Linked DNA regions of Canis lupus familiaris. Each later gene encodes a partner of the first gene's protein in a complex. Links are inferred from orthologs where the notes say so. Each region holds a gene or a part of one and is shown on either strand. Other genes may lie near its edges. The genes, in order: IZUMO1 and IZUMO1R.

Region 1 (4,576 bases):
AAAAAAAGGACAAAGACTTGTTTGAGCAGATAGGCTGAAAACATGCGAGGTGGGGAAAGGGGACGGCTGCTGAAAGCTCCTGGAGCAGAGTTTTCCAGAAGTATAGGAACACTTTTTTTTTAAGATCAAAAGCTGCCAAAGACAAGCACCACACTAGGTCACCTCTCCCAGTTATGAAAGTTGAAAGTTTCCTCCTCTACGTCTGTGGCTGGGCTGCGGGGGCAGTAGGGTGAGGGTGGGTGGGAGCGGCGGGGTGGTGATGCAATCAATTTTCTGTAATTCAGCTAGCATGACTGTTTCCTTGGGCTTTTCTGCAAGCCTCTAAGATTGTGTGTCTCTCCCCCCACCCCCACCCGCATTTCACAGAACCACTAAATCTGGCTTCGAATTTGAAAGGATCTGAAGGTATGCAGAGTCCGGGCTGGCCTCAAACCCAGGCAGGAAAGAGCACAGGGTCTGGCAAAGGAGGATGGGATTCTGGACTCAGCTTCCTGGAACCCCTTGAGGCTTTTTGAAGGCAGTGGGGATAGCTAGCTTTATTATAGACAACCGTGATCGCATCCCCTATCTAACCAGAAGAATGCAAGCCCCTTTTTTCAGTCATCTCAAGGAGTTTGGAGGGATCACTCCCTACTCAGCTGCCAAGGTTGAAGAGAGGGAGGTATGAATTAAAAGTCCACATCACCAACTTCTGTCTGCAGATTTTTTGGAGTCGTGTGTGTGTGTGTGTGTGTGTGTGTGTGTGTAGGAGGAGGAGGAGGAGGCAAAGTGCAGAACTGCCAGGGACTCATTATTTATGTCAAAGCAGGAGTATTGTCCTGCTCTGGTCTGGCAGCCTCTGGTTCTCAGAGTTGTGTGAACCCTGGTGCTTGTTTTTCTGGTGGCCTGTTTCAGTTATGCAGAAAAGGAGAGACCTGCTGGATCCATAGGGCCCCAGTTTCTCAGTACTGGTTCTAGGCCTCTTTCCTCTGGAACCCTGGCATCAAGCCCCTTGGGCCAGGGAGAGAAGGTAGAGGGAAGAGTGAACAAAGTGGGCAATTTTTCTTTTATTTATTTATTCATGAGACAGAGAGAGAGGTATAGATATAGGCAGAGGGAGAAGCAGGCTCCACACGGGAAGCCCGAAGTGGGACTGGATCCTGAAACTCCAGGATCGCGCCCTGAGCCACCCAGGAGTCTGAAGTGCGCAATTTTGAAACTACATTTCCCATCTAGTCCTCGCGGCGGCCAGAGTAATCGGCTAGGGAGAACCCCAGGGCTTCCTGGGAGTCGTAGTCTGAGGGCTAGAACGGGCCACTTCTCTCAGGGTCGTGGCTCGAAGCCAGGTTTGCAAAAGGTCCTGTGCACTTTGCCGGAAGCCTGGGTCCGGGGGCTCAAGGACGGGAGGAAGCTGAAGACCAGAAGCCCTTTCCTTGGCTTTAGAAGCCGGAGGGCACAAAATACTTTTCCTTTCGGTAGACGCTAGGAAAGTTCTGGTCTGAAAAGACAGCGGTCTCTGTGATATCACGGAACGGTAGGCGGAGCCTCCCTTTGTTACGGTCTAATGAGACTCAGCGTTGGGCTTGTGGGGCGGGGCCAAGGAAACTCCCAGGGAGCATCTTCTGGGAAGTTGCGGCCCCAAGTGGGAAGCTAGAAGCTGGAAGCTGTGGAAACTCCTTGTAGATCGGGCGAACGGTGACCTTGACTCCATTCAAAAAGCTCTCCAAATTACGCGACCAACCTCACCCTCTCCCCCCAAAATCCTTAATTTTATTCGCGGGAAAATAGAGTTGGAAGGACGGGCCCTGCTTGTCCTAAAAGCCCTCAGCCCGGATTCGGCTCTTCAGCGAACCCTAGTATTTGAGGGTGCAACAGTCGAGGCCAAGATCGGAGAGCGGTTGTTAACGGTGCACCGGATCTCCGGACTTCCCGGTTTCCTAACCGAGAAGTGTGCGCCCTGCAAATATTTTGGGGGTCTTCGTCTCGAGGAATAGCTTCGAGTCTAACGCTTCCCTCTCTTCTTCCTAGCGTGAACGTTTAGGGTGAGAGGACCCTCCCCCAAGCACTGCGCGGACTGAGCGCTCTGGCCGCAATGGGTCCGCAACTTCCCCTCCTGGTGGCGGCGCTGGCCGGCTGCCTGCTTCCTGCCCGGGGCTGTGTCACTTGCGATGCAAAGGTCGTGGAGGCGCTATACCACTTTGAGATGGAGTACCTGCCGAGTCGGAGTCAGGAACTGCAAGGAGTGTTGGACAGGATAAAATATCTGCTGAACGATTTCAAGAAAATCCCAGATTTAAATGATCAACATTTAGGGGTTGTCGGTGAGGGCAGGGAAGAGCGTGGAAATCCTGAGTCCTGGGAAAGGAGGGGTCTGGTCTGGGGCTAGGATTGCTGGGTGTGGGGCCAGGGTGGGAAGGGAGGGAAGGACTGGAGCCAGAGTCTACTGGGTTCGGAATGGAGAAGGCCAAGATGCAGATTCCCGGTTTACCCCGGGCTAGCAAAGGCCGTGTTTCCCTCCCCCTTAGCCTGCAATTTTATGTGAAAAACTACAACTCCCAGAAGGCAACGGTCAGGCAATCCCTTTACCAGTCCTAGCCTTGCCCAGTAGCCCCATGGATATTGTAGTTTCTAAGACTAGGTGAGCCAATGAGGCAGAAAGGCTTGAATCTGGAGTTCTATCTCCCCTTTTCCCTCCCCTCCTCCAGATTCCCCCACACTGCAAAAGTTATCCGTGGATTTTCTGAAGAATTTGAAACGTATCACAAACTCTGAAGAACAAGGTAAATGCACAGAGGGGCCAGGGGAGGAGGGGCCCCAGAATCTTCCAGAAAAGTAATAGTTGGTGACAGCTGGTCTGGTAGTGGCTCTGGAGCCAAACTGCCTAGGTTCGAATTCCAGCTCTGTCATCTCCTGTGTGGGCCTGAGTGAGGGATTTCACAGCTTTGTCATTTCTAAATGAAGATCAAAATAATGCCTTCATGCCAGCTGTCGCTTAGCTCAGTGGCCCAGCATTATGTTAAGCGGTCATTGAATTTCATTGTCCCTCCCTGAGAAGACACCAAGTGGAATGCCAGGCTCTTCTGACAGAAACAAACTTCCTGTACCTCACTCCTGGGATGGGTGAGGGAGAGAGGAAGCACTCTGTGTCACCCCTGTTCCTTCCCAGGTGAGGCTTTCCTGAGTCAGATATTCTGGATGTTAATCAAGCAAAAAGCTTCCATTCTGACAACTATAACCCAGTTCCAAAAAAAGGGTGAGGGAAGATGGGAGTCTGTCAGGGACCACAGCCCCTTTCTTCAAAAGTCCCACAGTCCCCGTCTCCAGCCCCTCAGTTCTTGCAATTCTGTCCTCGGACCCAGGGATCCAGACACCTTCCTGGGGACCCAGGGATCCAGGCACCTTCCTCCCTCAAACCCAAGAGCCCAAACCCCAACCTAGTCCTTCGCCCCCCCCCCCCCCCAATCTCTTTTAACTTAGAAATCTGATCATCTTTTTTTCTTTCTTTCTTTCTTCTGAGGCAGGTTTTTGTCCCAACAAATGTGGTGAGTCCGGATTATAGGAGCTGGTCCTCTATCCCTCATCGTCGCCCGGTTATGAACCTCCCCCTTGGGGTCTCGATGTTTCTTAATTTTCCACTTCTGAGAGGTTCCTGGTCTCCAATATTCCTTCGGCACTACGGACTCACGGGGGAGCGGGTCCTATTCTATTTGCGCTCTTCACCGAGTCGGGTTGGATCCCTCTTGCTGCCGGGCTTCCTCGTAGCCCCGCCCCTTGGGCTGACCTCCTAGGGACTTGGGCACCTGACCCCGCCCCTGCCCTTGGCCCTGCCCTCTCCTTTTAGCCTCGCCTCTCAGGGCGAATACAGCGTTGATGCTGCCCCTTCAGGTCAGATGTTGCAGACTCTGATCTGGTGCCATAACTGCTTGAAGAGAATACACACTTGTCGAAAGTCCATCGATTGCGGAGGTGAGAGAGCTGGGACCAGCAGGAGGGGTCGACGCAAAGAGGGGCGGAGCCAGAGGAGGGACCGACTCTGGAGGGGGCGGGGCTGGAGCTGGCCGAGACCAAGTAGGAGCGAGTTGGGAGGGAGCATCCCACAGTAACTCCCTATCCCCAGTGCACGAAGTCGTGGTCCATGAACTGGAAGACCTGGTCCTGGATTGTGAGCTCAGCTGGCATCGAATCTCTGCAGGCCTGAACAATTACACATTTTACAGGGTGGGACCCACTAACTCCTGTAACCCTTGAACCCCGAGTCCATCAGGCTTATGTGCGCCCCCTGATCTTTGTATCCAGAGGCTTGCATCTACAATCCCTAAGGCCCATGATCTACCAGATTTTGCTGCTTCTGATCCCCGGAGACCCTATGCCCTGCCCCAGTATACCCTGGACTCCCATTTCCCCCATTGAGACCCCGTGATTATCTCACCCCTGTACAACCCGAAACCCTGAATTCCCCAGGCCTCTGTGACCCCTTGAGCTTGGGTCTAGGTTTTAGGGAGCAACAGCTTGCTGCTGTCCGTGGGGAAAGAGCCCACCCTGACCAAGACCATGGTGAGATTAGAAGATGCAGGTACCTACCGCTGCGAGTTGGCCA
Region 2 (4,350 bases), on another chromosome or scaffold:
ACATTTGATTTTTTCAAAAACAGACTTCACTTGGGACCCGGACAGCATCTACGCTGGAGGTAACCCACTCAGCTGGTCCTTATGCAGCGGACAGAGTGTCTACCTGGGTTCAGATCCTAGCTCTGCCCCCCCCAGCGGAGCCTCAGGCTCCCCATGGTTAAGTCGGGGAGGGCATTCAGGTTCGGGCCGTTCCCAGGGGTGAGTCAGACTGTGTACCGAAGGCACCAACCCAGCCTGGGCCCTTCAGGGTGCTCGGCCCTCAGTGGCTGTGATCACCACGGCGGAGCACTCCATTTCCCAGCATGCAGGCTAACTCCTGTCTGCACATCAGCTGTGCACCCGAGCAACACAGATGGGCTGTTTCCTTCAAGTATAAAAATCCTGGGATCCCTGGGTGGCGCAGCGGTTTGGCGCCTGCCTTTGGCCCAGGGCGCGATCCTGGAGACCCGGGATCGAATCCCACGTCGGGCTCCCGGTGCATGGAGCCTGCTTCTCCCTCTGCCTGGTCTCTGCGCCTCTCTCTCTCTCTGTGACTATCATAAATAAATAAAAATTAAAAAAAAAAAAGTATAAAAATCCTCTTATTATTCTAATTTCCTACATAATGGTTAACACCTCAGTCACCTTGGCTGCTTGTAACCTTGGAGAGGGGACTTGTTATAAGAAACAGGCAAGGAGGGGCACCTGGGTGGCTCAGTGGTTGAGCCTCTGCCTTCGGCTCAGGGCCTGATCTTGGGGTTCTGGGATCGAGTTCCACATCGGGCTCCCCACAGGGAGCCTGCTTCTCCCTCTACCTGTGTCTCTGCCTCTCTCTCTCTCTCTCTCTCTCTGTGTCTCACGAAGAAATAAATAAATCTTTTTTAAAAATTAAAAAAAGAAAAAGAAACAGGCAAGGAGAGGGGCTCCTTTTCTAGTGTTTTCGTCATCTTTGGGGCTCTCCCAAGAGTCCTGTTCAAGTTTTGCAACCTCTCCTGGTTGAGAACTTTCTTGTGAACATGATCACTGCTGAGGACACTTGTAGAATATGTCATGGGACAGGGGTCTCCGCATGCTCAGGGAGGCCATTTCATGGGTTGTGATGGGGCTTATTTGGTTTTGCTGGTTTGGGCTGTGGTCACACATTTAAATTCTTGGGTCTCGAAGGCCCTGCTTCACCTCTGTGTCACTGTGTCTGTTCGCTAGCAGGAACCTGACAGAGGTCACTGTCCCTCAAGCCACCAGGTGGTGCATCCCAGGTGTCTGAGCTGACAAAGGGGCAGGTAGGGCCGCGTGCAGAACGGGTCTGGGGCCCAGAGACAAAGGCTAACAGGATAAAGGAGAATAATTAAAGCTACTAAGATTTACTCTGTGCCGGGCACGATGCCAAGTCCTTTCCGTGAATTTTCTCTTTCCTCCCCCCCCAGCCATCCCTGTTATGAAACAGCCCTTTATACAGACAGGCAGACTTGGAGAGTTCGCCCCTTTCTCCGGGTCATCCAGCCGGCAAGGAGCGGAGCCCAGAGCAGAAGTCAGTAGCGGACCAGAGCCAAGGATCCTCCCCGCTACCGGGTCTCCGCTTCTCTGAGAAAGTGGAGGCCCGAGCTCCAGCCACAGGAGGCCCCTCCACCTCGGGAGATGGATGCTCTTCAGCTGGAGCCACCTGGAGCTCTGCAGCGCTCCTGCTTTAACTGGGGCCACCTGGAGCTCTGCAGCTGCTCCCAGACTCCTAGGAAGGGGGTGGGTGATAAATGGGCCTGACGGCAGCCCCCAATCTCAGGACGTAGAAGGGAGTGGCTCCTGCCTTGAGGGTAAGTATGAAGAAAGCGCTAGAAGGGGCAGCATCTTTCCTCTGTTCCCCTGTTGCACCATCCCTCCTACTAGGGTCTGGGGGACTGTCGGGCCAGGGGCTCCTGGGGGTGGGGTGGTGGGTGAAACTAAGGAAGCTGTTGTTTCCCAAAGTGTCGGGCATTTGAGGCAGGATGCTTTTCTGCCTTTCTTCTTCCAGTCTCTCGTTCCCCTCCCTCACGTTACCAGTACTACCCAGAACTGAGACCCACACTCAGTCCTTGGGACAGTGGAGGGGATGGAGTGGGTGTCCTATCACACAAGCAGATGTATCTCCTGTCTGCAGTAGGCCATGGAACGGTGGTGGCAGCTCCTGTTAGGGCTGTGGATGGTCATGCCTGTCTGGGCTGGGGACGAGCTGCTCAATGTCTGCATGAAGACCAAACACCACAAACGAGAGCCTGGCCCAGAAGACAAGCTCTATGAGGAGGTATAGAGGCCGGACCTTGCCTGGGAGTGGGAGTGAGGCTGCGTTGGCAGAGCAGGGAAGGGACACAATTGCCAAGATGGTTTCTGAACCACCATCAACCCTGACTCATCTGGTTCCTTACGTTGGCATTTGGGCAAGGCCACTGGAGGGACAGTGTGGCCCCTAGAGAGCAGAACTGTTGAGTGCTTCAAAGTTCCCATCTCTGGCTGCCTGGACGCTCGGGGAACAGGGGCAGATGGTGATCCCAGAGGCCCATCACTGGTTCAGCTTAGATCAAACAAGGTCCTCCTTCTTTAGCCTTCCTACCAATAGCCACTGGGGAGACCTAGGTCTTAGGTGACCCTTCCTCAAGCCTGAAAAGCCATTGACGGGAGCAAGGGAAGAGTTGTGGAGCTGCCTTTTACCTGTGAGCTCTGCTGGGCTCTGGTGCCCTTCCACCCAGTGCTCCACATTGCCCTGGGTGTCGTGGGGTTCCTCTGCTGCCCCTCGGGAGCAGAGACCCTGGGACCCCTGTCTCCAGGGGACTTTGCAGCCCATGGCAGGGAGATTGGTGGGCAGGTGCCCTTTGGCTGTGAATTTTGACCCGCCTCAACATTTCTTCTGTAGGAGTGTTGCTGGCCTGAAGGCCTCCCACTTGCCCAGTGGGACAAAGGGGACAGGTTTACCTTTCTGCCCTAGACACTCCTGAGTCTCCTGCGTCCTACCCGACCCCCAGCCTTTTACTGCTTCATCCCCTCAGTGCATCCCCTGGGCAGAGAAGGCCTGCTGCACAGCCAGTACCAGCTGGCATGCCCACCTGGATGTGTCCCTGCTCTACAACTTCAGCTTGCTTCACTGTGGGTTGATGATGCCAGGCTGTGAGGAGCACTTCATCCAGGCTGTCTGCTTCTATGAGTGCTCCCCAAACCTGGGGCCTTGGATCCAGAAGGTCAGAAGGTGGGGCTGGGGAGGCAGGAGACACGTCCCCGCAGGTGCAGTGCCCTGTTCGAGGGGCACAAGGTCCACGATGCTAGCGGGAGCAGGACGCGCCGCCCCCCACAGACAAGAGCAGAGCCAGGGAGGGGTTGGGATAAAAGATGGAGAGGAAGCCGCCTCTGGCCCCAGGAGAAGGGCAGGGGGGGAACAGATGGGAACTGTAGCATGAGGGACTGTTCGAATCCCGCCTTCTGGATGTAGGAGCTGTGTAGCCTGGGCCAAACAATGTAGCCTCTTAGGGAAGGGACGCTCACAGGCTTCATAAGCGAACACCCTCAGACGGCCCCGCACAGCAGCCTGGGCCGCCGGGCCTCTTGGGAGCAGGGCTGTCAGCACCCTTGTCTCTTGCACCGCCGGGACCCAGGTGGGCTCGAGCGGGCAGGGAGAGCGGATCCGGGACGCGCCCCTGTGCTGGGAGGACTGCGAGCAGTGGTGGGAGGACTGCCGCACGTCTTACACCTGCAGATCCGACTGGCTCGGCTCCTGGGACTGGAGCAGGGGTGAGTGGTGCTGGCAGCGCCCCACGGGGGGGGGGGGGGGGGCAGGGGCAAAGGAGGGCCGTGAGGGCGCGGGCGGGCGTGGCGGGAAGTGAGCGCCCCCCCCCCCCCCCCCCCAGGGAAGAGCCGCTGCCCCTGCGGGGGCCGCCTGCCGCCCTTTCCCGCGTTACTTCCCCACGCCCGCCGCCCTGTGCCAGAGGATCTGGAGCGGCTCCTTCCAGGCGAGCCCCGCGCGCAGGGGCAGCGGCCGCTGCCTGCAGAAGTGGTTTGAGCCGGCCCGGGGCAACCCCAATGAGGCCGTGGCCCGCCTCTTCGCCGCCCCCGCCCGCGCCCGCGCCCCCGCCCGCCGCCTCTCCTGCAGCCTGGCCGGCCTGGCCGCCTTGTCCCTGCTGCTGGCGGTGCTGTCCCCGCGCCCCCGCCTGCGCCCCCCGCTGCGGCTCAGCCTGGGCCCGGGCGGCCCCCTTTCCCGGGCCCCCCCAAGGGAGCAGCACGGCTGGGGCGCTGCTGGGCCCCTGGCCGCGGGAGCCTGTGCCCGAGCCTGAACGCTCAGTTCTAGGCGCCCCCACCGCCCCGCTCTGCTGACGGCCGCAGCCCCGGCCTCCCTCCCCACGACGGTGCCTCCAA

Evidence for each region.
Region 2: the proteins of IZUMO1 (region 1) and IZUMO1R are in contact, whole or in part, in a crystal structure (PDB 5JKC), measured with the Homo sapiens proteins. The link is inferred for Canis lupus familiaris from reciprocal best matches to the Homo sapiens genes IZUMO1 and IZUMO1R. Residues at the interface, in NP_872381.2 of Homo sapiens: Met75, Val77, Tyr134, Val141, Leu146, Trp148, Lys150, Asn151, Lys153, Glu155, Val156, His157, Ala158, Arg160, Lys161, Ser162, Tyr163, Asn239, Ser240, Ser241, Pro242, Ile245; in NP_001186135.1 of Homo sapiens: Lys42, Tyr44, Glu45, Ile48, Leu58, Trp62, His65, Leu66, Asp67, Gly80, Leu81, Leu82, Met83, Pro84, Gly85, Arg87, Ile91, Met145, Ser146, Tyr147, Gln171.

The regions. Positions count from the first base shown.
Region 1 is NC_049222.1:108,251,530-108,256,105, forward strand, and holds the start of IZUMO1 (izumo sperm-egg fusion protein 1), read left to right. Parts: upstream 1-1,552; 5' UTR 1,553-2,071; coding exon 2,072-2,300; intron 2,301-2,684; coding exon 2,685-2,759; intron 2,760-3,145; coding exon 3,146-3,232; intron 3,233-3,500; coding exon 3,501-3,521; intron 3,522-3,864; coding exon 3,865-3,945; intron 3,946-4,096; coding exon 4,097-4,197; intron 4,198-4,470; coding exon 4,471-4,576. UniProt on the Homo sapiens protein: Essential sperm cell-surface protein required for fertilization by acting as a ligand for IZUMO1R/JUNO receptor on egg.
Region 2 is NC_049242.1:6,676,828-6,681,177, reverse strand, and holds IZUMO1R (sperm-egg fusion protein Juno), read left to right. Parts: upstream 1-1,417; 5' UTR 1,418-1,787; intron 1,788-2,110; 5' UTR 2,111-2,116; coding exon 2,117-2,254; intron 2,255-2,993; coding exon 2,994-3,182; intron 3,183-3,593; coding exon 3,594-3,729; intron 3,730-3,845; coding exon 3,846-3,991; intron 3,992-4,022; coding exon 4,023-4,268; downstream 4,269-4,350. UniProt on the Homo sapiens protein: Receptor for IZUMO1 present at the cell surface of oocytes (oolemma), which is essential for species-specific gamete recognition and fertilization.